4 linked regions of the Drosophila melanogaster genome follow. The protein of the gene in region 1 purifies or fractionates together with the protein of each later gene. This does not show direct contact. Each region holds a gene or a part of one and is shown in the gene's direction. Other genes may lie near its edges.

Evidence for each region.
Region 2: the proteins of CG17002 (region 1) and Cpsf6 purify together in Drosophila melanogaster (affinity purification with mass spectrometry, with the first as the bait; one large-scale study listed by BioGRID). This does not show direct contact.
Region 3: the proteins of CG17002 (region 1) and Ptip purify together in Drosophila melanogaster (affinity purification with mass spectrometry, with the first as the bait; one large-scale study listed by BioGRID). This does not show direct contact.
Region 4: the proteins of CG17002 (region 1) and MED25 purify together in Drosophila melanogaster (affinity purification with mass spectrometry, with the first as the bait; one large-scale study listed by BioGRID). This does not show direct contact.

The regions. Positions count from the first base shown.
Region 1 is NT_033778.4:6,984,284-6,989,445, forward strand, and holds CG17002 (uncharacterized protein), read left to right. Parts: upstream 1-1,759; 5' UTR 1,760-2,061; coding exon 2,062-2,493; intron 2,494-2,550; coding exon 2,551-2,650; intron 2,651-3,354; coding exon 3,355-3,405; intron 3,406-3,497; coding exon 3,498-3,982; intron 3,983-4,287; coding exon 4,288-4,485; 3' UTR 4,486-4,639; downstream 4,640-5,162. Other genes in the region: vimar (visceral mesodermal armadillo-repeats), read right to left, coding at 1,129-1,135.
Region 2 is NT_037436.4:8,309,946-8,317,129, reverse strand, and holds Cpsf6 (cleavage and polyadenylation specific factor 6), read left to right. Parts: upstream 1-1,627; 5' UTR 1,628-1,992; coding exon 1,993-2,058; intron 2,059-2,453; coding exon 2,454-3,173; intron 3,174-3,978; coding exon 3,979-4,119; intron 4,120-4,379; coding exon 4,380-4,846; intron 4,847-5,056; coding exon 5,057-5,356; intron 5,357-5,414; coding exon 5,415-5,483; intron 5,484-5,903; coding exon 5,904-6,099; 3' UTR 6,100-6,637; downstream 6,638-7,184. UniProt on the Drosophila melanogaster protein: May play a role in pre-mRNA 3'-processing.
Region 3 is NT_037436.4:14,026,121-14,030,706, reverse strand, and holds the start of Ptip (PAX transcription activation domain interacting protein), read left to right. Parts: upstream 1-1,585; 5' UTR 1,586-1,862; coding exon 1,863-1,937; intron 1,938-2,316; coding exon 2,317-4,586. Other genes in the region: endos (endosulfine), read left to right, coding at 287-460.
Region 4 is NT_033777.3:20,007,136-20,012,256, forward strand, and holds MED25 (mediator complex subunit 25), read left to right. Parts: upstream 1-1,811; 5' UTR 1,812-1,924; coding exon 1,925-4,516; 3' UTR 4,517-4,577; downstream 4,578-5,121. Other genes in the region: CG17190 (uncharacterized protein), read right to left, coding at 4,745-5,121.

The DNA.
Region 1 (5,162 bases):
AAAGGGGAAGTTTCGAGGCCGGGATTGCCGGCGCGTTCAAGTGCTGTTTGTTGTCGTTCTGCACAGGTTCCCCTCGGGAAAGGGTATACAAACAGTACAGTCTGTGGCCAGTGTTTATGTATGTGTTGATTCGGTGCAGTCACGTTTGAAAACTAAGAAGTTTAGAGACTTGTTTACGTTTAACAATTCTCATCGGTGACTGACCCAAATATAACACATCCAGTGCGTACGTTACACATCCAACTACACTGAGAAACACAAGAAAAAAAGGGGTTTCTTTTAGTTAGTCACAGCTTTATCTTGACAATGACTGCGCTTTGACTGCAAAGTAGTATCGAATTTTAAGCCCTTTTAAGCTTAATCTGTGAAGATTGTCCTAATTGTAATGTTTATCAACAATTCAACAAAGTTGCCATAGATTTCTCACTGTGCATGACTTCATCGTTTTGTTTGCTATATCACCCCCCGTGGGGATAAAACGAATTGTGAGGACTGCGGGGAGTGTTGCGACACGCCGGTAAACCTGGCACCTCGCAGGAGGCATATTCTCATTTATTAATGCGTCGTCACTGCTGTTCCCAGTTCCCATTCCTATTCCTCCTGTGCTGCGGTGGAGTGGGCGGCTCGGGTGGCGGGTTCGTGCAAAACGGTGGTGGCCGCTGTCTCAGCCGCACTTAATTCCCGCCAGAACTGCCGGGGCCATTAAAGGATAAAAGAGCGGGATTTCTGATTGGGAAGCGCTGACCCTGTTGGCCGCGATAAGTGGGTGCGCACAGCAGCAGGAGCACGGCATCTGCCTAATCCGACCGGCCCACTGTGCAGTGGGATGGGGAGTGGGGAGCATAAGTATTGATTTTTCTCACATGTCCCCGGCAAACACACACATCTTGTCTAGGGAGCCGCATCGCCCGCCCCCACCCCACTGCCCCTGCTCGGAGCAACTTCCTCCGACACCTGGCAGCGATTTGGAAGTTTTCGCAGCTCGTAAATGCTGCACTGCAGCCATAAAACGGCCGCTGCAATGACTCGCATGAATTGCGTTTGTTTATGCTATGGAAAAGGAATCCGGGGTCTGCTGTATGTCGTTTGGGATGCTCCATAGGCAGAGAAATGCTCGATGTTACTCACTCGCCATGTTTGCCGCCTTTGTTGATTATTCCGCTGCTGCTTCTTCCGTTTTTATGCTTTTCTGCTTTTCTTGCTCTGCGTTGGTTGCGATTCCAGGCACGTTGTATCACTGTTAGCTTGTAACAAACACTGCTGATAGGCTAATGACTGCTGCGCGCAACTGAACACATTTCACGGCTTTCTTTCAGTCGCGTCTCCGTTCAACTTCCGCAATATCCGTATAATTCGTATTATCCGTGTAATCCGTATTTTCCGAATCGCGTTCAGACGTTCACACCAACAACTGCAATTCTAGTGTGACCGCAGAGCTCGAGCTGCACGATACCTCCAATGAGAGATGCCATATCGATGCTTACGCATTTTATTAACATCGATAGACATTTCTAGAATGTCTAGACTTTAATGCTTGGATTTTCCAAAAACTATAATCTGTTTCCAAAAAGTTATCGATAAGTATCGATCAGTGTTGAAACTATTTGTATTTTATATTAAATTCTGGGGTGTGACTAGTAATATTAGGAATATAAGCTTTAAAGAAAAAATCGAATTCTTTATAAGTGATTTAGTTCGAACGTTAACTTAAGATTTGCCACCACAATCGGAAAGTAGCTATTTTCTAGCTAGCTTTGCCCATTAATCGATTGGTGGCAACACTGGTCGGCACATCCCACTCACTCAACAAATTGTTTACCACAAAAAACCGTGCTGAAAGTGAACGAAAATAAAGTGCAGCCCGGCGTCGAGCATTTGCAGTGATCCCAAGACGCCCAACCATTGATTCCCGTAGCGGTGTCCACCCGGATTCCAGCCCACCGCCACCAGCACGCCATTCCATTTGGGGAGCCTCTCGGTCGGTTCGGTCAAACAGTCGCGATTGCCCGGTCGTCCACGAACGCTTATAAAATTGGCAAGATAACTAAGCAGAGCACAAAGATGCCGCCAGCATCAGCGGTAAACAACAGCAACGCGGCCGCCCAGGCGGCGAAGGCCGAGCGGGCGGAGAAGCTGCGCGGGGCACTGAAGGGCTTCATCGTGGCGGACCGCCAGCGGCGCCAGGAGGAGTTCGAGGCTCAGTGCGAGGAGCAGCGGCTGCGACGGGAGCGCGAGGAGGTGGAGCGCCAGAACCAGGTGGCCCTGGATGACACACGCGGCCAGATAACCCGACTGGACGAGCAGCTGGCCGATCTGCACAGCCAGAAGCATCAGCTGACCGTCCAACTCAAGAAGGTGCTCAACGAGGACGAAACGCGCAAGAAGCTGGCCAAGGAGAACGAACTGTTCGCCATCCAGCAGGCGGCGGCCAGTAGCCCGGTCTTCCTGCCGCCCCTGCGCCTCCAACACCAGCACCATACGCTGATGCAGAAGGTCTCGACTGCGCAATTGTGGGATTCAGGTTCTAATGGTCCTCTTTTTTCCTCGCAGCTCCCGTCCGGCGGACAGCCAGGAAAACGTGGCAGGAGTCCATCGCCGCCGAGTCAGCAGCAGGCTTACTACAAGAGCGCCGCCAGCTACGCCCAGCAGAGTAAGCCAGGAAGAGGTCGACAATGTGGTCCCTGGGCCTCCGATACAGTGAACGCTGCCTCAGGCAGGCAGTCCAAAGTCTCATGCACGCAATTTCGGTTGGATTTTGTTAACTCGAATGCGGGATCTGCTCATAATTTGATTAGTCATTGAATTGGTTAGCACATATGTATGGTTCTTGATTTGGACGAGAGATATACGTGATTTTTGTGATGTCATCATCTCTACATTCTGATTGCCAAGCCCTTTTTTAAGCTCTATGAAATATTAGCACTAATATCAATTGAACTTCTAATTAGGAATGATTGCAAAAACATGGTTAAGTGTTAAGTAAATAATCAATTCGATATAAAGAAAGTTTCGTGCTGTTTAGGCTTTGTATTGGATGGTTTAGTTTAATGTGTTTTAATGTGCACAAAAATTACCCTATTATTTTGAAGGATATATAGTGTAGAAACGATATATATAGGGTTTCTAGCAGATAGCTCGAGTTTTAAAATTCAACTGCAAATTGGCATTGGCTAAAGGTGCGATACAATCACCGATTGATCTGTTCTGCGGAGCTTTCGCTGTTCTTCTTGATTAACTGCTCGCTAACACTCCGTCCCGTTCATGAGAAATCCATTTCACTGCGCACACTAACCTCTAACAACACAGGCACACAACTTATGTTCATTTCGTTATTTGTTTACGATCGATTCGCAGAACACGATGACTACCGTCGTGCCGCTGACTATGCTAGATTATCATGGAACAGTAAGCACCTCACTTGCAATACCAAGCCCGAGATCCTCCGTCGGAACGATCGCCAGATTCGTCAATTAAACCTCACTTTTCCTCTCTTCCAGAAACAGCGGCACAGTATCCGGGCACGGGAACGGTCTTCTACCAGACGGTCGCTCCTCCGCCGACGACACAGCACCAGGCGGACGCCCGCTTGCAGTCCATCTACAACTACAACCTTCCGTTGCGCCAGGCCTACCACGTGGACCTGCCCAGCGCCACGGTCAGCAAGCCGCCCGACTCGCAGTCGCCCAAGGCACCGTCGCAGTCGCAGCCCATGCAAGTGCTTCACATCAACCTCGACCAGCCGACCATTTCGCAGGCAGACCTGGTGGCTCAAGCCGGCGGCAGCCTCTCGGTAAAGGCCTCCCAGCCACACGTGACTATGGAGAAGCTACCGGACCGCTACCACATCGAGGTGAAGCACGACGGCCAGCCGCCGAGCCACGTCCCGCCTCCGCCACACCTGCTGCCGGAGGGCGTCATCTTCAAGCCGCTGCTCAACGAACTCTCATTGCACAGCAACGTGCTGCAGATAAGCAGCAGCCAGGTGGGTCTCATTCTCAACATTTGTGGTTAATTAGCCGTGGCAGTGTCTTAGAATTTACAACTTAGAACAAACAAGTTAGATTTACATCTTCGAAATCGAAGTTCAACGATTAGGCTCTGCGAAAATGGTTTTTAAAGCCTGAGCATCTTGAATAAGAGCTGTTTTCTATAAAACAAATTCATTGTTGCAGGTTTTCATGTTTTCATAGGAAAACGCATTAGAACCAACTTCCCAACTACTGATTAACATGTTTGATATCATTTACAAGGAAGAACTAAATATTCACTTGACTAACGCCTGGCCAGTTTCCTCCACAGAATCCGAAAACAGCGGGAAGCATCACACAGGGCTATGCCCCTGGACGAGGTGGATCCGCCCACGAGCAGCAGTTGGCTCGGCAACAGCTGGCGATGCTGCCTGGCCAGCCGGGAGCACCGTCCGGATCCGGCTCCGCCCAGCCGCCTCCTGGTCAGCAGATGCATTACACGCGGCGATTGTACTAGCCTCTAACCCCTAACCCCTTTTGTCGCTACGGAACTCGCTAACTGATATACTTACGATTTTAAATAGACATTACAACACTGACTACGCTTCCCACGTGAAGTCGGATAAACGAAATAAAGCACACAACTATGGCGTCCCTATTTTCCAATCGACAATACCATACTGATATTTGATATTGATTTGATATTTGGTATCAATGGGCTTCTGTGGTTCTGTGGTTATACCATAATAACTTTGAGGTATCGTAGTTCTAATCACCAACAGGCAAATTGATCTAACTCGAAAGAGTTTTTGAAATTCTGGGCAATAGAAATTGGATCATGTATACATATAAAAAATGACTATTATATAAAATGGTATGTACAGCTGTGTTCAGAAAAATAGCAGTGCGAGGAATACTAATTAATACAAAGGTATTTTTCCATGTCCCTTTTCGGAATTGACTTTTTATTCCACTTATTTTTGTTAAATGGAATGTGTATATAGGGAAAAAAAGAAAATCCGGTTAGTTTTTCATGTTATCCTTTTTTTATTTACTTTCTTAAGCGAAATCACAACTTTTAGGCTGTTCATAAGAATAGCAGTGTCTGGTTTTGACCAACGTAAAGTCAGGAAATGATCAATATTTTTAAAAAGTGAGTTTGATTAATTCGTACATTTAAAAGGGGAGTAAATG
Region 2 (7,184 bases), on another chromosome or scaffold:
CTTTTTGATAAAGTATCCCAGCCAATGGTCACGCAATAAATTTTTGACATGACTTACGCACGTCCGAAATGGTCGATGGGGGGCAATTGATATGAGTGGTAGCCATTATGTAGATCTAAGTGATCGGAAACATTCAATAACACTTATACGACTTTTATGATAGCCAGCCAAAGGCCACACGGCGTATGCGCAATATTTTCATAGCAATTGATTTTTATCCTATTATTGTTGGTTATTTTAAAAGCGTGCAGTATATTTAAGATAAATACTACGTGCGTAAGTCTCCTCCCCTTCAATGTTGCACCTTTGAGCCCCAATTCTGTCCCAAAAATGTCAGCGATTAGCCGAGAATTTCAATTGACTGCACCCTCGCCACCAACATCCGTCGATTTCCATCTGCGTGATTGCTCTTGAAGAACCGCCCACCTTGAATTGGAAACACATTTCCACATATGCAAATCGCGAAAATCCAATCTGCAATAGCTTTATTCGCTGAAGCATTTAAAAATCGATTGATTGCTGTAAAGATCGTAATTACCCATTTAATTACTCTTGTTAATTAAACACACAATCGCATGAGGCGAGAGCAGCAAATATAATTGCCGTCCGTTCAGATTGGACGATAAAAGCCAGTGGTAATTGACATTTAAGGCAATTCATTAACGCAACTAACATATGGGAGTCAAAGAGCCAAAGTTAAAAACTAAATACCAACAGGTGGACTACTGCCCAAATACGAGAAGAAAAATGAAAAAACATCAGATACACGAATAACATGGCTAATCATGCACTAGATTTCGGGATATGTGTCTTTTTTTTCACAGGCCCGACTAAAAAATGCTGCCTCGGTTTTTTTTTCCCCCAATTTTTCACCGCGCATTTGCATACGAGTGGCCAAGTCGACGGCGCCACAATCTCCTCGGTTCCCAGCCACCAGCAAGTTCGAAGATTTCGGAGAGCCGAGTTGTTAGCGGCAATTATTGTAACCTGCAGACGGGCCGCATAAATCAGCTTAATTGCTATATTTAAATTCTAAATTTGGAGCTCTGGCCAAGTGCGCTGTCTAGTTGTGCAAGTGACACGGTCAGCGTCTATTTGGACCTGCAAATCTAATATATGCATGGCTATAGTTTTTGGGCAGCATTAACAATTTATGCAAATTAATGTGTGTGTGATGGTGGTCCCCTAAAAAGGCAAATTTATTAGAAGTATGCATATTTAAATTAAGATATGCCTGTTATGGGTGTTGTAATGAATGTTAAGTATTTTCACATGTCGATTTTTAATAACAAAGAACCTAATGAACTTATTACACATTTCAAGAAAGTTCTAACGGTTGGTTTTAAAATTCAAAATTCGATAGAAGTCGATATATTTTCAATGGTTTGTGTCCACGCTACGACCACAGTCAAATTGGAAATTGATGTCAAGTATTTGTGATTATTTTATGGTAATAATAAAGCGATTTAGGTAACAAACACATCTAATTAAATTCTATTCATTAAATATATTTTATCGTAGTTGTATTCTCATTAACTGTCAAATTGCGGAATACCCCAAACAGGATGTGGTATTTTCTAGTATGCGAGCAAAAATATACCGCATAGGTTTTCCACATTTCAGCTTTACAGTCACACTGCACCGCTCCGCCATTTTACGCTGACAATTTTTTCGCAAGATTGAAGAAACTAGTTCGTGCACGAGTAGAATGTAAATAGTTACAGAATTCACCCAACGGAAAACAACGCGCCAAAGCAATTAATCAATTAATTGTGCAGCGGGCGCGATTACCCGGCTAAATCGCGCAGCAGCACGCCGGTTTCTGCTCCGGCTTCCCCCTCCCCCGCAAAAAAAAAGAAACTGTACGAGGCGCGAGTGCAAGTGGGACAGAGACGGAAAGATTGGCGAGTGTCTTAGTGTGCGTGCGAAAATTGGGAAAAGCGGTGAAAAATCAGTAATTACGCCTAGGAATAGCAACTTTTCCGGCTCAACATGGCCGACGTGGTCTTGGATCTGTACGCGGAGGACCTCGACAAGGACTTTGCCGGGCAGGCTCAGGTAAGCCATGGGAAAAAGGCAGTCGCTCTGCAAGCCGCGTGTGTATGTATACAGTAGGGTGGATCGATGTCCGAAAGAATTGCGTTAGGGGGTAGAACGGCGTCTTGGGCGAACTCGACCACTTGGTACCTTGTAAAGTAGGGTTCTAGGAACTGAGTGCAGGGATATTATATTTATATAAAAATGAAACGTAATTTTTTTTAATTTCTTTAGCCATGGAAATGTAGAGAATTGTACGAATCCCAATAACTATACATTCTAAAAATTCTAAAGTAAAAATAGAGTAAAATCGAATTTGTAAAAAAAACAAGACTTGATCGTTTATTTTTAACGATTTTACGGGATTCCCACAACAGTTTGACCCACTTGTTAATTACTTTGCTTTATCCGCACAGGACGAATTTGGAGGCGATGGAGTAGACCTATACGATGACATAGGCGGTCCCACCGAATCGGCCGCCTCAGGTGGCGGGGGCGGTGGAACGCCCTCCGCAGATGGAGCCGCAGGGCCAGGCTCCGGGGAACCCGGCGAACGGAATTCCGGTGGTCCCAATGGGGTGTACCATCAGAGCAGTGGTAGCCTCACTCCGACCATGAATCGCCGCTACCAGCTTTATGTGGGCAATCTCACATGGTGGACCACTGACCAGGATATCGCCAATTCGCTGCGAGACATTGGCGTGAGTGATCTACAGGAAGTGAAGTTTTTTGAGAACAGGGCCAACGGTCAGTCGAAGGGCTTCAGTGTAATCTCCCTCGGCTCAGAATCTAGCCTGCGCGCCGTGCTCGACCAGCTGCCCAAGAAGGAGATGCACGGCCAAGCGCCGGTGGTCACGTATCCCAGCAAGCAGGCACTCACCCAATTCGAGAGTCTGCAAAAGACGCGTCCAGTGCCGCCGCCGCAGCAGAATGGACCGCCCAGGGGTCCGGCACCACCCAGTATGGGTGGCGGGCCAATGCCCACCGGACATCCAGGAGGACCGCAAGGAGGTGGACCACCGGGACATCCACCGCGCGGGATGAACTCCATCATGCAGCCGGGCCAGTACCGACCGCAGCACATGTCGCAGGTTCCCCAGGTGGGCGGACCCAACTCAGGACCTCCACGAATGCAGGTACACAACCACTGTTTTAGCCCCACATGGCCCCAAGAGGTCTCATCGTTTGTAGAAATATCGCTCGGTTCTAATTTGTTTTGTTTCTACATTCCTACATTATTTCCTATTTCCATCAAAATTGTTCTGAATGCAAAATTTGCTTACTTAGGTAAAATTAGAAACCCTAAATATACGACTTCATGTATAGTTTATAAACGAATATGTTCTACTTCAGTTGTTCGATATTCTTTTGTAAATTAAACGTAGAAACTTAGTTTTACAATTTAGAGAAAACAATAACGACTTTAGATGTGAGATATAAACAATCTGAAATATCCGATCTCTTGTTAGTATTTCATTTGATAATTTATAAACTAAACTAAAGCTGTCGTACAAATTAAGTTTCTAAGAATTTTTATTTATGTCTTTAAGTACTATTCTTATTCTTTACTTCTATTAATTCACAAGTAATTTCAGAGCAATTTTTTGTAGCACTCCTCGGCCTAAGGCAGTTTGTATTCTTTTTACTCCTTTTGTACTCTAGTCATAGACTTTCAACAAAAAAAAGCACATGTAATAAATTAAAATCAAGAGCAGTGCCTTCCTGGTTCCACTCAAATAATATATACTTTTGATTTAATTGCGTTAATGTATTTCCCCCCCTAGTATTTGTAATTGTGTATAATGGCCCGCTATTGTTATACAAAATGTTTATGTATTACGATTTATGTTCTATTCCATGTCTTTGACAACGCTTACGCACACTTCTACCCCACAACAACAACTACTACTTCAATATAAAACGTAATTCGTATTAATATAGCCGCCAATGCATCCGCAAGGCGGGCTCATGGGGAACCAACAGCCGCCACCCCGGTATCCGTCAGCGCAGGGCCAATGGCCAGGTCAGCGGCCAGGCGGGCCGCGACCAGGTCCACCGAACGGACCACCGCAGCGACCAATGGTAACAATCCCCAAAGCACTGAGTCCTCTTTGTATCTATGCCATAATATAATTCTAACGAAGCCAGAGAGAAGGCGAGATAAAGGAAGACTAACCCAACTTAAGTTAACCTTAGTTAACTTAGTCTTAAGCGATGTATTCAGAACATTTTCAGTAATTCCACAGATCAACCCATGCAACACAAACTCATACTATAGCTTAGAAACCGATTCGATCCGATCATTGGGAACAGTAAATAATCTTGTCTCTTCTGCCTTGCAGTTCCAAGGAGGCCCAATGGGCATGCCCGTCAGGGGTCCGGCAGGTCCCGACTGGCGTCGTCCACCCATGCACGGTGGTTTCCCGCCGCAAGGTCCGCCACGTGGCCTTCCCCCAGCACCAGGTCCGGGCGGACCACACGGCGCACCCGCACCCCACGTGAACCCAGCATTCTTTAACCAGCCTGGTGGTCCTGCCCAGCATCCGGGCATGGGTGGCCCGCCCCACGGAGCACCAGGTCCACAGCCAGGCATGAATATGCCACCGCAACAGGGCATGAACATGACGCCACAGCATGGACCGCCACCCCAGTTCGCCCAGCATGGACCACGTGGTCCGTGGCCGCCACCGCAGGGTAAGCCACCAGGTCCCTTCCCCGATCCGCAGCAGATGGGTCCGCAACTGACGGAGGTGGAGTTCGAGGAGGTGATGAGCAGAAATCGCACAGTCAGCAGTTCGGCGATCGCCAGGTGAGTGCAAAGGTTTTTAAAATGTTTTCTTTAACGAGGTCAAAACTTGTAGTTATTATTTAAAAACTAACCCATTCCTAAGTCGAATTCATAGAAAATTCCAATTATTGAAACTATGACTCAGATCCGGTCTAATTAATAAATTATCTAGATAATTAATTACTTTGTTGATCAAATATCAATTCCCTTTTTATGCTAATTTATTTTCAGAGCTGTTTCTGATGCAGCCGCTGGTGAATACTCGAGCGCCATCGAGACACTGGTCACAGCCATTTCACTGATCAAACAGTCCAAGGTAGCGCACGATGAGCGATGCAAAATTCTGATTAGCTCGCTGCAGGACACGTTGCATGGCATCGAGGCCAAGAGCTACAATAGGCGCGAAAGGTCGCGGTCGAGGGAGCGATCTCATCGCAGCCGACAGCGACGTGAGCGTTCCACGTCCAGGTACCGCGAGCGATCTCGGGAGCGGGAACGCGATCGGGATCGTGAGCGTGAACGGGATGGCGGGTAAGTTTTGGTTCTACCATGTGTAAGCCTCACACTTAATTCCGTATTCATTTTCTAGAAGCTACAGAGAGAGGTCTCGCAGTAGAGAACGTGAACGCCAGGCTCCAGATCACTACAGGGATGACAGGTAAAGACGTTCTACTTCTAAAAATTCGCTTCACTGTCTCATTTAAAAGTTGCTGATTAATTAATCATAGTGCTTCATTTAAATAGCATAGAACTCATAATTTATTCACTCGTAAACAGATTTTTTACTTTTGCTGTAAAAACAAGTGTAGATTTGTAAAGTCAGACGAAACTTTATTTTAAAATATTTGGAAAAATGTATAATTTATTAAAAGGTAGTATTTTTAAGGTATAGGCTTTTCAAATTTTTTATTTTCATTAAAAGCTTTCTGTAAAGATGTTAGCTTGAATTGTAACTGTTTAGGCTCATCAGAATATTTTTGCTCTTTTGTGCAACAATATACGGTGACAATTAAGCGAATTATTTTTAAGCTCGAAATGAAAACCTTGCGTTAATTTCAATCCCATAATCCGAAAACAGCCGATCGGTGCGTCCACGAAAGTCGCCGGAACCCGTAGTCGCCGAAGCAGCGGAGGCGCCATCATCGAAGCGCTACTACGAGGATCGGGAAAGGTACCGCTCCTCGGACCGTGAGCGACGCGACCGCGATCGAGACCGCGACCGCGAGCGGGAGCGTGATCGCGACAGGCGTGAGGAGCACCGTTCCCGGCATTGACTGCCGTAAGTGGAAGTTGGAACCATCGCCAGTGGACCCGTAATCAAGTGTAAAGATGCAACACAGATATACTAAACACACTCTATTAACAAACAATAAGCCGCAGCTTGGTGGGATGACAAGCTAGCCACAATTAACAGATTTTCGATTTGTATCTAACATTACCAATACGTAGGATATGAATATGGCAAACAGCATAGTTCTTCTAGACATACTATAATAAGCCGAAATGCTGACAAGATTTTACCAACGACGGACGGGGACTGCCTCTGGATCCATCCAACTTCACATCACAGAATCCTGGCAACATCAAGACCGGCAGACCGAAGTCAGCAGCAGTAGCAGGAGGATCGATGGAGAAGCCAAGGGGACAGTCAGCGTGGGACATTATAGACACTGATGCGCACTGGATCATCAAACAACAAACAACTAGCATTCCTGCACCGCCGTCTTCGCAGCAGAATTTCAATATTATTGTACTCTAAAATTTCGGTTTATTTAATAAAACATAAACGTATGAAAAAAAGAATTGTTCCAGAAAAAACCTTTACCAAAACTGTCTTGTATTGTGTGTCTTCTTGTACTCTTATTATATAAAAAAAAAAACATCTTATTAGTTAATGACTTTATAATTGTACAACAAAATTGTATGTAAAAATTACAAAATTATTGCACTTGTGCGTGCAATTAATATGGAAATTGTTATATTAACAAAATCATTTTGCCGACTGAGGCCGAAAATCGTTATCCCTAATGTATTTTCAAATATTTCGCGATCTTTTGTTGTAAACATTCTCCACGCATTTGTTTAATCTTGTTTTTATTTAACAATTAAACTTAAGTCGATCATAATTGTGTGCTTGAGACTGAGTGTGAGTGAATTTTTGTAGCATTCAAATGCCGACTGAATCCATCCGCATAAACGGATGGAGAAAACCATATGTTTGTATAGAATAAGTCGAGTGTGTGCTTTTAGCCCAAATACCATGATTTTTAGACTAAATTACTCTAAAAGAGAAACGTCCCAATCGCATTTATCGTAGTTAACTATACTAACGTTACAAGCTGATGTAGTTCCTAACATA
Region 3 (4,586 bases), on another chromosome or scaffold:
TAATAATAATAATATTATTTAGTAGTATTTAGTACCCGTTGTTTAAAGGAAAATAACAATTCATGTTTCCTCTATTCTAAGATCCATACTATTTGGCAATTGCTTTCTGAAATCAATGAAACTCAATAATCACAGCGCATAGTTTATATCAACTTGATGATCTGGTAAACGAAATCAGATTGTTACATTAAGTTTGCATTTGGAAGATATCTCCGTTTTAGTTCTAAAAAGCTATTTGATTATATAAGAGAAATCTAATATGTATTCCTTCATATCCTTCCCACAGCAAAAGTTCTTCGACTCGGGCGATTACCAGATGGCCAAGCAGAAGGGTGGCGGCGTCAAGCAGGTCTTTGCCAACAAGGTGACCACCGGGGAGGCCATTCCCACGCCCGAAACCGTGCCGGCGCGCAAGACTTCGATCATCCAACCCTGTAACAAGTTCCCGGCGACGAGCTAATTTACTCACCACTCAACACTCACCTCTACTGTATCCACAACCTCAAGTGCAGCCAGTTCTCCGTTCCCCACTTCAAATGCTCTATACCTAATTTTAATGAAAAACCTAATGCTAAGATGGCTGCTGCCGGATTGTGCGGGCATTTCGCGACAGTTTAAACTGAAATTCTAGCACCATGTTCCGTGTTTCCCCCGTTAAATTCAATCGCCATCCGCACTGGCCAATCAATCTCAAGATCAACTCATCAGTCCATCTCTCAGGCCGGGGAAGCGAAGATGGCGAGCCGAGCAGCGCGAAATTTATTGCAACAGTTATATATATCTCTATCTTTGTAACATTAAACTAACTTACCCTCGTCGTACATAGTTGTAAGTATTACGAGCATAATAAATTTAAGTTGGAGCAGCCAGCCACACACACACACACGTTCTCGTACATTACTGGGATTCCATCAAAAGTTTTTAAAAGTTCACCATGTTCTATGGAAAATGTTTTTATATTTTTTTTTTTGCATTCATTCTATAAGCAGTTGACGGAATTTCACCAACTAATTGATAATAACATAGGTACTGCTGCTTGCAGAGCTAAATTTTTGATGCAAAAACCAAACAGTCGAGTTAAAATGAATTTGTAAATCAAGCAGAGCTAAAATAAATGTATGTACGTATACTTATAAATGTGTTGATTTCCTGGGGCGCTAACCCAACAACTGAATCGGAAATGTGCCATACAAATGTTTACTTAAATTATAAGTGCCCGGAGTGGAGTCTAATTAACTAGGAAACGTTCCTTCGAGCGGTGTGGTATGGTAATTGGTTGTTCAAATTGGACGGGAACGAAATGAAATCACCAAAATAGGTGGGAAATACACAATATTTAATACAAATAGATGGGTTCATATATTTTCATACGAACATCGTGTTTTAGTTAAAAGTTAATCGAACTTGCAAAGTGAGTTTTAGGCCCAATTAAAAAAGTTTTAACCAATAAAATCGCTTTTTGGACCACAGTACAAATGAAATCAATCAAATATCCAAGTTTTCCACCAATCGATACCAGCAGATTAAGCATCCATATTGCCACACTTCTGGAACTATCGATAGTATCGCATAAACAGTGTTTTGTACCAACTCTAGGCGGAAGGCGCAGCGGTGATAAAAGAGAAAAAGTGATCTTTAAATGCAATTTTTCGGTTCCAAATTGCATTTGTTATGTGCTACGCGATAAGCACCGCATCGCACACCGTTTTTCGAAGTTCGCAAATGGCCAAGATCAGCGGAAAGACGAGAAAACACGCTGCAATGTAGATGCCCACGAGCAGCCGCGGCAGCAGCAATAACAAAAGCAAAAGTGAAATTAGCGCCGCCAGAGAAGTGCAAGTGGTCAAACAAACGGCGGCGCCATGGAGAACCTCAAGATAAGCGACAAACTGTTCGAGGATGTGATATACTTTGTGCTGGGAAATCTGGACGAGGAGGTAAAAAGCTGCAAAGCGAATCTTTCGTTTGCTGTTGCTGTACTTGCATTGTGCGTACGTGTGTGTGTGTTTGTGTGAGCGGGTGTGCGTGCGTCTCACAGGGTGGGTTGGAGCGCGGGCGGACAGGGTAACCCGGGCACCTTGGCAAATGCGCGCCATAAAAGTTGCCGGCAAATTGCCGTGTTTGTGTGTTTGTGTACTGGAGTTTGTATTGGTGCTAAATCAACTGATTTTTGTTTTGGTTCTCCTCTACCAACGGAAGCAACATATTTGGCACCCTTGAAAAAAGAATTCTTATTTGGTCACATACATATATCTTTTATATATACTGTTTAAATCAAGTAATGTAATAAATAATTATTATGCCTTTGCCTTGCAGATCGAACGCTTTCTTAAGAGCGGTGGCGCTCAATCGAAACTGTTCCTGTCGGACCAAATCACCCACATGATATGCGCCACCAACTACAACGAGGAGGAGCTGTCCATGAACCTGGACCTCTACAGTGCAATTCCCGTAACGGAGCAATGGATCGTGCACAGCGCCAAGCTAGGCCGAATGGCCTCGACACGGGCTTTCGACCCGAGTCCGAATCAAATGCGGTTGATGCGCGGCATTCGGGTGGCCATCACCAATGTAGTGGCAGGGGATCGAAGGCGTCTTTACGCCATGCTGACATACCACGGTGCCGTAGTCACGCACAGCTTTGGGGCCACCAACACGCATCTGGTGTGCGGTGCAGCCAACGGTGGCATCTACAACAAGGCGCTGGCCCTGCCCAAGAATGCCATCATTATTGTGACGCCCGACTGGGTGACAGATAGCCTTAAGTACAAAAACTGCATGCCCGTGGAGACGTATCATCCGAGACTGCTGAAGCCCATTGAAAAGCAGCGAACACAAAAGCAGCAGGCTACGCAGCAGCAACAAATTCAGCAGCAGCAGCAATTGCAGCACCAACACCAGATGCAGCAACAACAGCAGCAGCAGCAGCAGCAGCAACAACAACAACAACAACAACAACAACAACAACAACAACAACAACAACAACAGCAGCAGCAGCAGCAGCAGCAACATCAACAGCAGATTATCCAGCAACAGGCAACGGCTACTTCTGCCCTATCTGACATCCTTGGCTTTGGCGAGGACAGCGTAGCTGCCAAGAGCATCGCTAGCATTAAGTCTCAGCTGCAGGCTTCAGCTGAACAAATACAGCAGCAACAGCTGCCCGTACCCGCACAGCAGCAGGTGGTCTTTGTGCGCCCACAGCCACAACCCCAACAGCCAGCACAACAATCCCCTCACCAGTTACAGCAAGGTGGTCCTCAAGCACCTACTCCTGCACCACACCCGCAGCATCAACAACAATTAATAATTCAGCAGCAGAAGATTATCCCCGCCAACCTGCAGCAGCAACCACAAAACCAGCAGCAAATCAAAAATATCCTACAGCAGAGACAAATGAAAACAACGCAGCAGTCTCAGCAACAGCAACAAATCCAAATGCAACTAATGCAGCAGGAGCAACAGCCGCATCCTCAACCACTTCAACAGCAGCTTGCGCAACAACACCCGCAACAAATCGCACAGCAACTTCCACAGCAACTTTCTCAACAACATCCACAACAAATTCCTCAGCAACAGCAGTCGCCCCGACTGCCAACGACTCCAACAGGCCGGCAGACACCACGTACACCATCTACAACGCCGCAGCCCGTGCAATCCCCTCAGCACCACCAGCAGATAGTTCAACAGCAACAGGTGGTGCAGCAACAAGTGGGCCAGCAGCAAACGATGGTACAGCAGCAGCAGATAGTTCAGCAACAGCAAATTGTTCAGCAGCAAGTTGTTCAGCAACAGCAGCCACAACAACAATCTGTGCCGGTTTCGCCGCAAATCATACACCAACATCTAATGCGGCAGCAACAAATTTTGAACCAGAATCAAATGCAATTGCAGCAAATCGTGCAAAGCGGACAAGCATTGACGCCGCAACAGCAGCAGCAACAGAGACAAATTCAACAACAGCTGCAACAAGTTATGCAGCAGCAGCAGCAATTACAGATGCAAATGCAGCAGCAACAACAGCAACAGAATCTACAACAACAACAGTCGCCTCGGATGGTGCAAAACCGTTCGCCGGTAATGCCACCAAGTACGCCATCCCCATCGTTGCAGCAACAGCAGCATCATGCAACTAGCAATATGTTGCCGCCACAATCGCCGCGACAACTGCAATCCCCAGCTCCCCAAATGACTCCGCCACCTCCGCCCTCGCCGCAAAACGCCCAGCAACAACATTTGCGCCAGCAACAGCAAATGCAACAGAATCGACAACAGCACATGATGGGCTCGCCACAACAACCTCAACCACAATCTATGATGTCGCCGCAACAGCAGCAACAGATGCAGCCCTTTCAACAGCCCGTCCATCAACAGCAGCGCATGCAATTGCAGCAGCAACAACAATTGGCCCAACAGCAGCAACAACAGCAACAGCAGAGTCCCCAGCATATTTCTCCGCAATCGCCCCAGATTTCTCAAACTCCACCCATGCAGGCAAAGCTGCATCAGCATCAGGTGGTTCCTGGACAAGCCACTCAGCCGCAGCAATCATTCTCCCAGCAGAAGCCTATCGACCCAACGGACCC
Region 4 (5,121 bases), on another chromosome or scaffold:
GATAAAATACATAAATCAACCAATAATGACGCAATAGTGGAAAGTGAATGGCGGAGCCGAAAGCAATGCATTTAGTATACCCTTAATCAATTAAAAATACGTTTAAATACGTTTATTATTTAAAGCAAAAAACCTACATCCGTACATGATAATACGTGCAATTACTCAAATAATAACTTATTATAGTTAAAAAATAGTTTGTACTTATTTCATTTAATATTTAAATTATCTAGTGATTCTTTATTTATAAGAACATATTGTAGTTCAGTTATAAAAATAGTTATCAATAATATGGTAAATATAATGAATGAACAGCCTTTGTTGTATGGGTGATTATTATCACAAGTCGCTTTATCTGGCTTCGATATTGTTTATATGTGATAAACCCGATTGGAAAATGCGTAACATATTAGGGTTTGAATGATATTGACTACATGCGAGTAAGTTGCATTTAGGTAGGGTATTTAAATGTACAAACACCCAACTAAAATAACTGGCGATCGGCAGTCGGAGTGACGCCCAAGCATAACTGGTGCCTTATATTTATGTAGGCGCTTTTTACTTCACGATCGGTGCTTCTGTAGCGATCACAATTATTGTAAACAAATGGAAAAGTTGCTTATTGGCAAATTGGACTAACAGAGAGACAAGAAAAAAAAGGCAGATGTGGCGAAACATGTTGCCAGGCAACAATAACAAAAAAGCATGCATGCTGTGCACACATGGCCGTTTAATTCACTTCTCTGTACTCTAAACTATACTTAAACCATGCTAATTGCCTACCCAAATTATCAGGTTTTTCGAGGCAGTGACGTCAGGGCAAGGAGTATAATTATAATAATAGAATCAAACGATTTAGCAACATTGCAGTAAAAAAAAACAGAAGCAAAGGGGAGCAACAAAAACAGAGAGAGGGCAAAATAAGAGAGAGGACAACCAGACAGAGCGAGATGCCAAACAACAGCTGTTCTTCTTGCCAGATGCGAAATGGGCAATTTAATGAAATTTATCTAGATTTCACTCACTTTTCACTTGCCAAACGTCGTGTTTGTGCACTTTTCACAATTGTCGCGGCGTCACACGTTTATTTATTTACATTTCTCTGCGTTTCAGGCGCTCGCACGCTCAATTAGCGCGCTTTCCGCTTTGTGCCACACATTCTGTGCCAGCCACAAAAAAGCCCGCAATTCGCACTTTCATGTGTTTTCGGCTATTTCTGCGATCGTTTTTCCTGCACTTGCACTGCTCAATAGCTAATGTTTAGTTAATTGACACTTTCTAAGCGTTTTGCGTATATTTTTTACGAATTATTTTGGCAAAACGACGCGGTACCAGCGTCAACGTCCGCATTCTTCAAAATCGGCGAATGAACTGAACAAAACGAACTGCGCAAGTTGGGCAATAGGAACAGCTGACCGCGCTGCCAGACTGCCGAACGGAAACTCGCTGCGAGAGTCTGGCAGCACTTGCAACCATCGATATAAACTATTGGTAACGAATATTTAAAGAATTAACTTTATAGTTCCATTGAAAATACATACATAAAACAACTATAATTATGATACCTAACATAAAACATCGTAATATCTTATTTATAGTTATCTTTTGTATGCAATATTCAATTTTAAGTTAATTAGATAAACACCAAACGTTTTTTTATTTGTGAAAATAGAAAAAGAATTCAATAGAAACAAGTTTTCAAGGCAATCTGCATATTCTTAAATCCAACTTTATGGGCACTTTTGAATATTCATTTATTTTGCAGCCCTAGCAATCGCTGAGCGATAACCATAAGTTGACTATCGATAGCAGCAGAGCGATATGCAAAACAAACGAAAAAAGTAAAAGAGCGGTGTAAAGCAGACAACATAGTTTACATTTTTTGCAACAAGTTTTTCAACTTAAAGCCAACTCCCATCGTCCAATGGAGGTGGACCAGATTCCCCTGGCCGACGTGGTCTTCGTCATCGAGGGCAGCGCCATCAACGGAGCCTACATCAACGAACTAAAGACCAACTACATCCTGCCGACTTTGGAGCACTTCACCACTGGCTCCATCGACGAGCGGGAATACCTGATTGCGGAGCGCTTTGCCACTCTGTACGGTATTGTGGTCTACCGTACAGCGGCCAATCTGCTGGAGCCAGTTTGTTCAACCTATGGTCCCTTTCTGCAGCCCCAAAAAGTGATGGAGACGATCGAAAGATTGCCACTAGTGGGAGGCGGAATGGAGTCCTGTGCCCACATGGCCGAAGGATTTGCTGCGGCCCACGGCTGTTTTGATGACATCAGCGAAAGGCGCCAGTTGCTCGATCAGACCAGCGTCCAGAGGCACTGCATTCTCATCTGCAACAGTCCGCCGTACCAGATGCCCACAACGGAGTCGTGGAAGTATCCGGGCAAATCATGTGAGCAGCTGGCGGCGCTCTTCAACGAGCGCAAAATCAATCTCTCCATTATTGCGCCACGCAAGATGCCGGTGTTGTTCAAACTTTTCATGAAGGCCGACGGAGATCAGCCCATTACGAGCAAAAACTATGCCAAGAACATAAGACACCTAGTGCTTCTAAAGGGATACAGCCTCAAGGAGAGAGCACCTAGTCCCAACAGCATGGCGGCCCAAATGGCTGCACCCAATGCGGCACAGGCTACAGTGCAGCAGCAACAACAACAGCAACAAAATCAAGCTGGTCAGCAACAACAAGGGCAGGGCATGCCCATGGACACCACTCCAGCCCAGCAGCAGCAACAGCAACAACAACAGCAGCAGCAACAGCAACAACAAGGCAATCCTCAGCAGCAGGTCATGAACATGAACACGATGCAGCAACAGCAGCCCGGTCCAAATCCCCCAGCGGGCTTACTCAATCCACAGCAGCAGCAGCAACTATTGCAGCAGCAGCAGCAGAATCAATTCGTTTCCAATCAAATGCAGAATCAGAACTTCCAGCAAAACGTGGGACCCGGCCAAAACCGCTGGATGTATCCCAACCAGCCTGGTCAGGCGCGTCCGCCCTTCATGCAGGGAGCAGGCAATGTGGGCGGTGTGGGCCAAGGCGGCGGCATGCAACAGAATCCAAATTCTGCTCTGATATCGCGCATTAATGCGCCGCCGCCGAACCAAACTGTGACCTCGCTGCAGCAGCAGCAACAGCAGCAGGCGCAGCAGCAGCAGCAGCAGCAACAACAGGCCCAACAGCAGCAGCAACAAAGGATGCAGATGCTGAGCCAGCAGCAGATGCTAAATCACCAGCAGTTGCAGCAGCAACAGCAACTGGCCCAGCAACAGCAACAGCAGCAGCAAGGACAGCAACAGCAGCAGGTAAATCCCAATGCAGGAAACAATATGATGCCGGCTAGCAATGCCGGCAACATGTCTAATCCGCAGCAGCAGCAACAACAAGTAGGACAACAGTCGAATCCGCAGCAGCAGGGCAATCCGCAGCAGCAACAGCAGGGAAATTCGCAGCAGGAGCAGGCCTCCTTGAGGGAAAAGATATGGACCGGAGTGCTGGAGTGGTCAGAGAAGCCAAAGTCCGATCAACAGAAGATTCCCCATACACTCCAGTGTACCGTGTGCACCAACATCAAAGATGGCGAGCCCGAGATCAAGGCTGAGAACTGGCCGCCCAAGCTGTTGATGCAGCTAATGCCCAAGCACCTAGTTGGCAATATTGGTGGGCAGTTTCTCAAGGACTCGAAAATGGTTGTTTTTCGACCCACTCCAGGAGAGGCACTCGATTCGCTGGCCAAGATGATGACCTCCGGCTATGCTGGCTGCGTCCACTTCTCCTCCATCCCCAACTCACCAGCCTGTGACCTTAAGGTTCTCATCCTACTCTACACGCCCGATCGCAACGCTTTTCTGGGCTTCATTCCCAATAATCAGGCAATGTTTGTGGAACGTCTGCGCAAAGTCATACAGCAAAAGCAGCACGGCAACATGCAACAGCAGCAGCAACAGCAGCAAATGATGCAGCAGCAAGGCAAGTCGCCCATGGAGCTGCAGCAGCAACAGCAACAACAACAACAGCAGCAACAGATGCAACAGGATAACTCGCAGCAGCAACACTACAACCAGTTCCAACTCAATATGCAGATGGGTGGTGGAGGTCCTGGCGGCGGACCTGGTCCCGGTCCCGGCGGCATGCCCATGCAACAGAATCAAATGCAGATGAACATGATGCAGCAACAGCGAATGCCACTGGGCGTAGGTGTTGGCGTGGGTGTTGGTCCCGGTGGCGTGCCCAATCCAAACCTCCAGCAGCAGTTGCAACAAGTGGCGCCAAACGTCGCCGCAATGCAGCAGCAGCAGGCGCAACAGCAGCAGCAGCGCATGGTGCGTCCCATGATGAGCAACAACAACCCGGGGCTGCGCCAGCTCTTGCAGCACCAGACCACGCCAGGCAATCAGTTCCGGCCGCAAATGGGTGGCCAGAATCCCAATCAAATGGGAGCAGGCGGTCCAATGGTCGGCAATCGCAACTTTGACGACGGAAACTATGAGTTCATGTAGGCTACTTAAGAGTATCGTATAAAAAACCAGAATTAAGACAGTAAAATATTTTATAAAATCCAACTGCAAGTCTTTTTTGGGGTAGTGGCAAAATCTATTTCCCAAAATCGAAATATTAATTTCTCCATTTTCATAACATTTCGTTTATTTAATTAGTAAGAATCAAGGGAAATCCGAATTTGCACAAGACTTATATTAATCACAGAACATAATCTCCGAGAAAGTCCACTAGTTTGCTCCACCGCCGCCGCCCCCCGAGGATGCGGAACTTGCACTTCCAGCGCTAGCGGCAAACACCTTGCGAAGATTCTGCAAGATGCTGAACAGAACCGTTCCCGCGCTGCCCAACGTTTCCAGAACATCGAATCCGGTGCTGTCGATGGCTGTCTCCCGATCCTCCTCCGTTTCGATGGCCGGGGAGCTGATGTTCCCGCCATTGTGGTGAGTTTCGTGGACGCCATGGTGTCCAATCAGCCGATGAGTATTGCTCTTCACATGGGAGTCGTTCACGCCGCCACCGCCAACTGTGTTTATCAGGTGCTTCACCGGCTCCAGGACCGGAATATTTAGCTTAATGCGATGCCATGCATCCGCAGTTTCGGTGA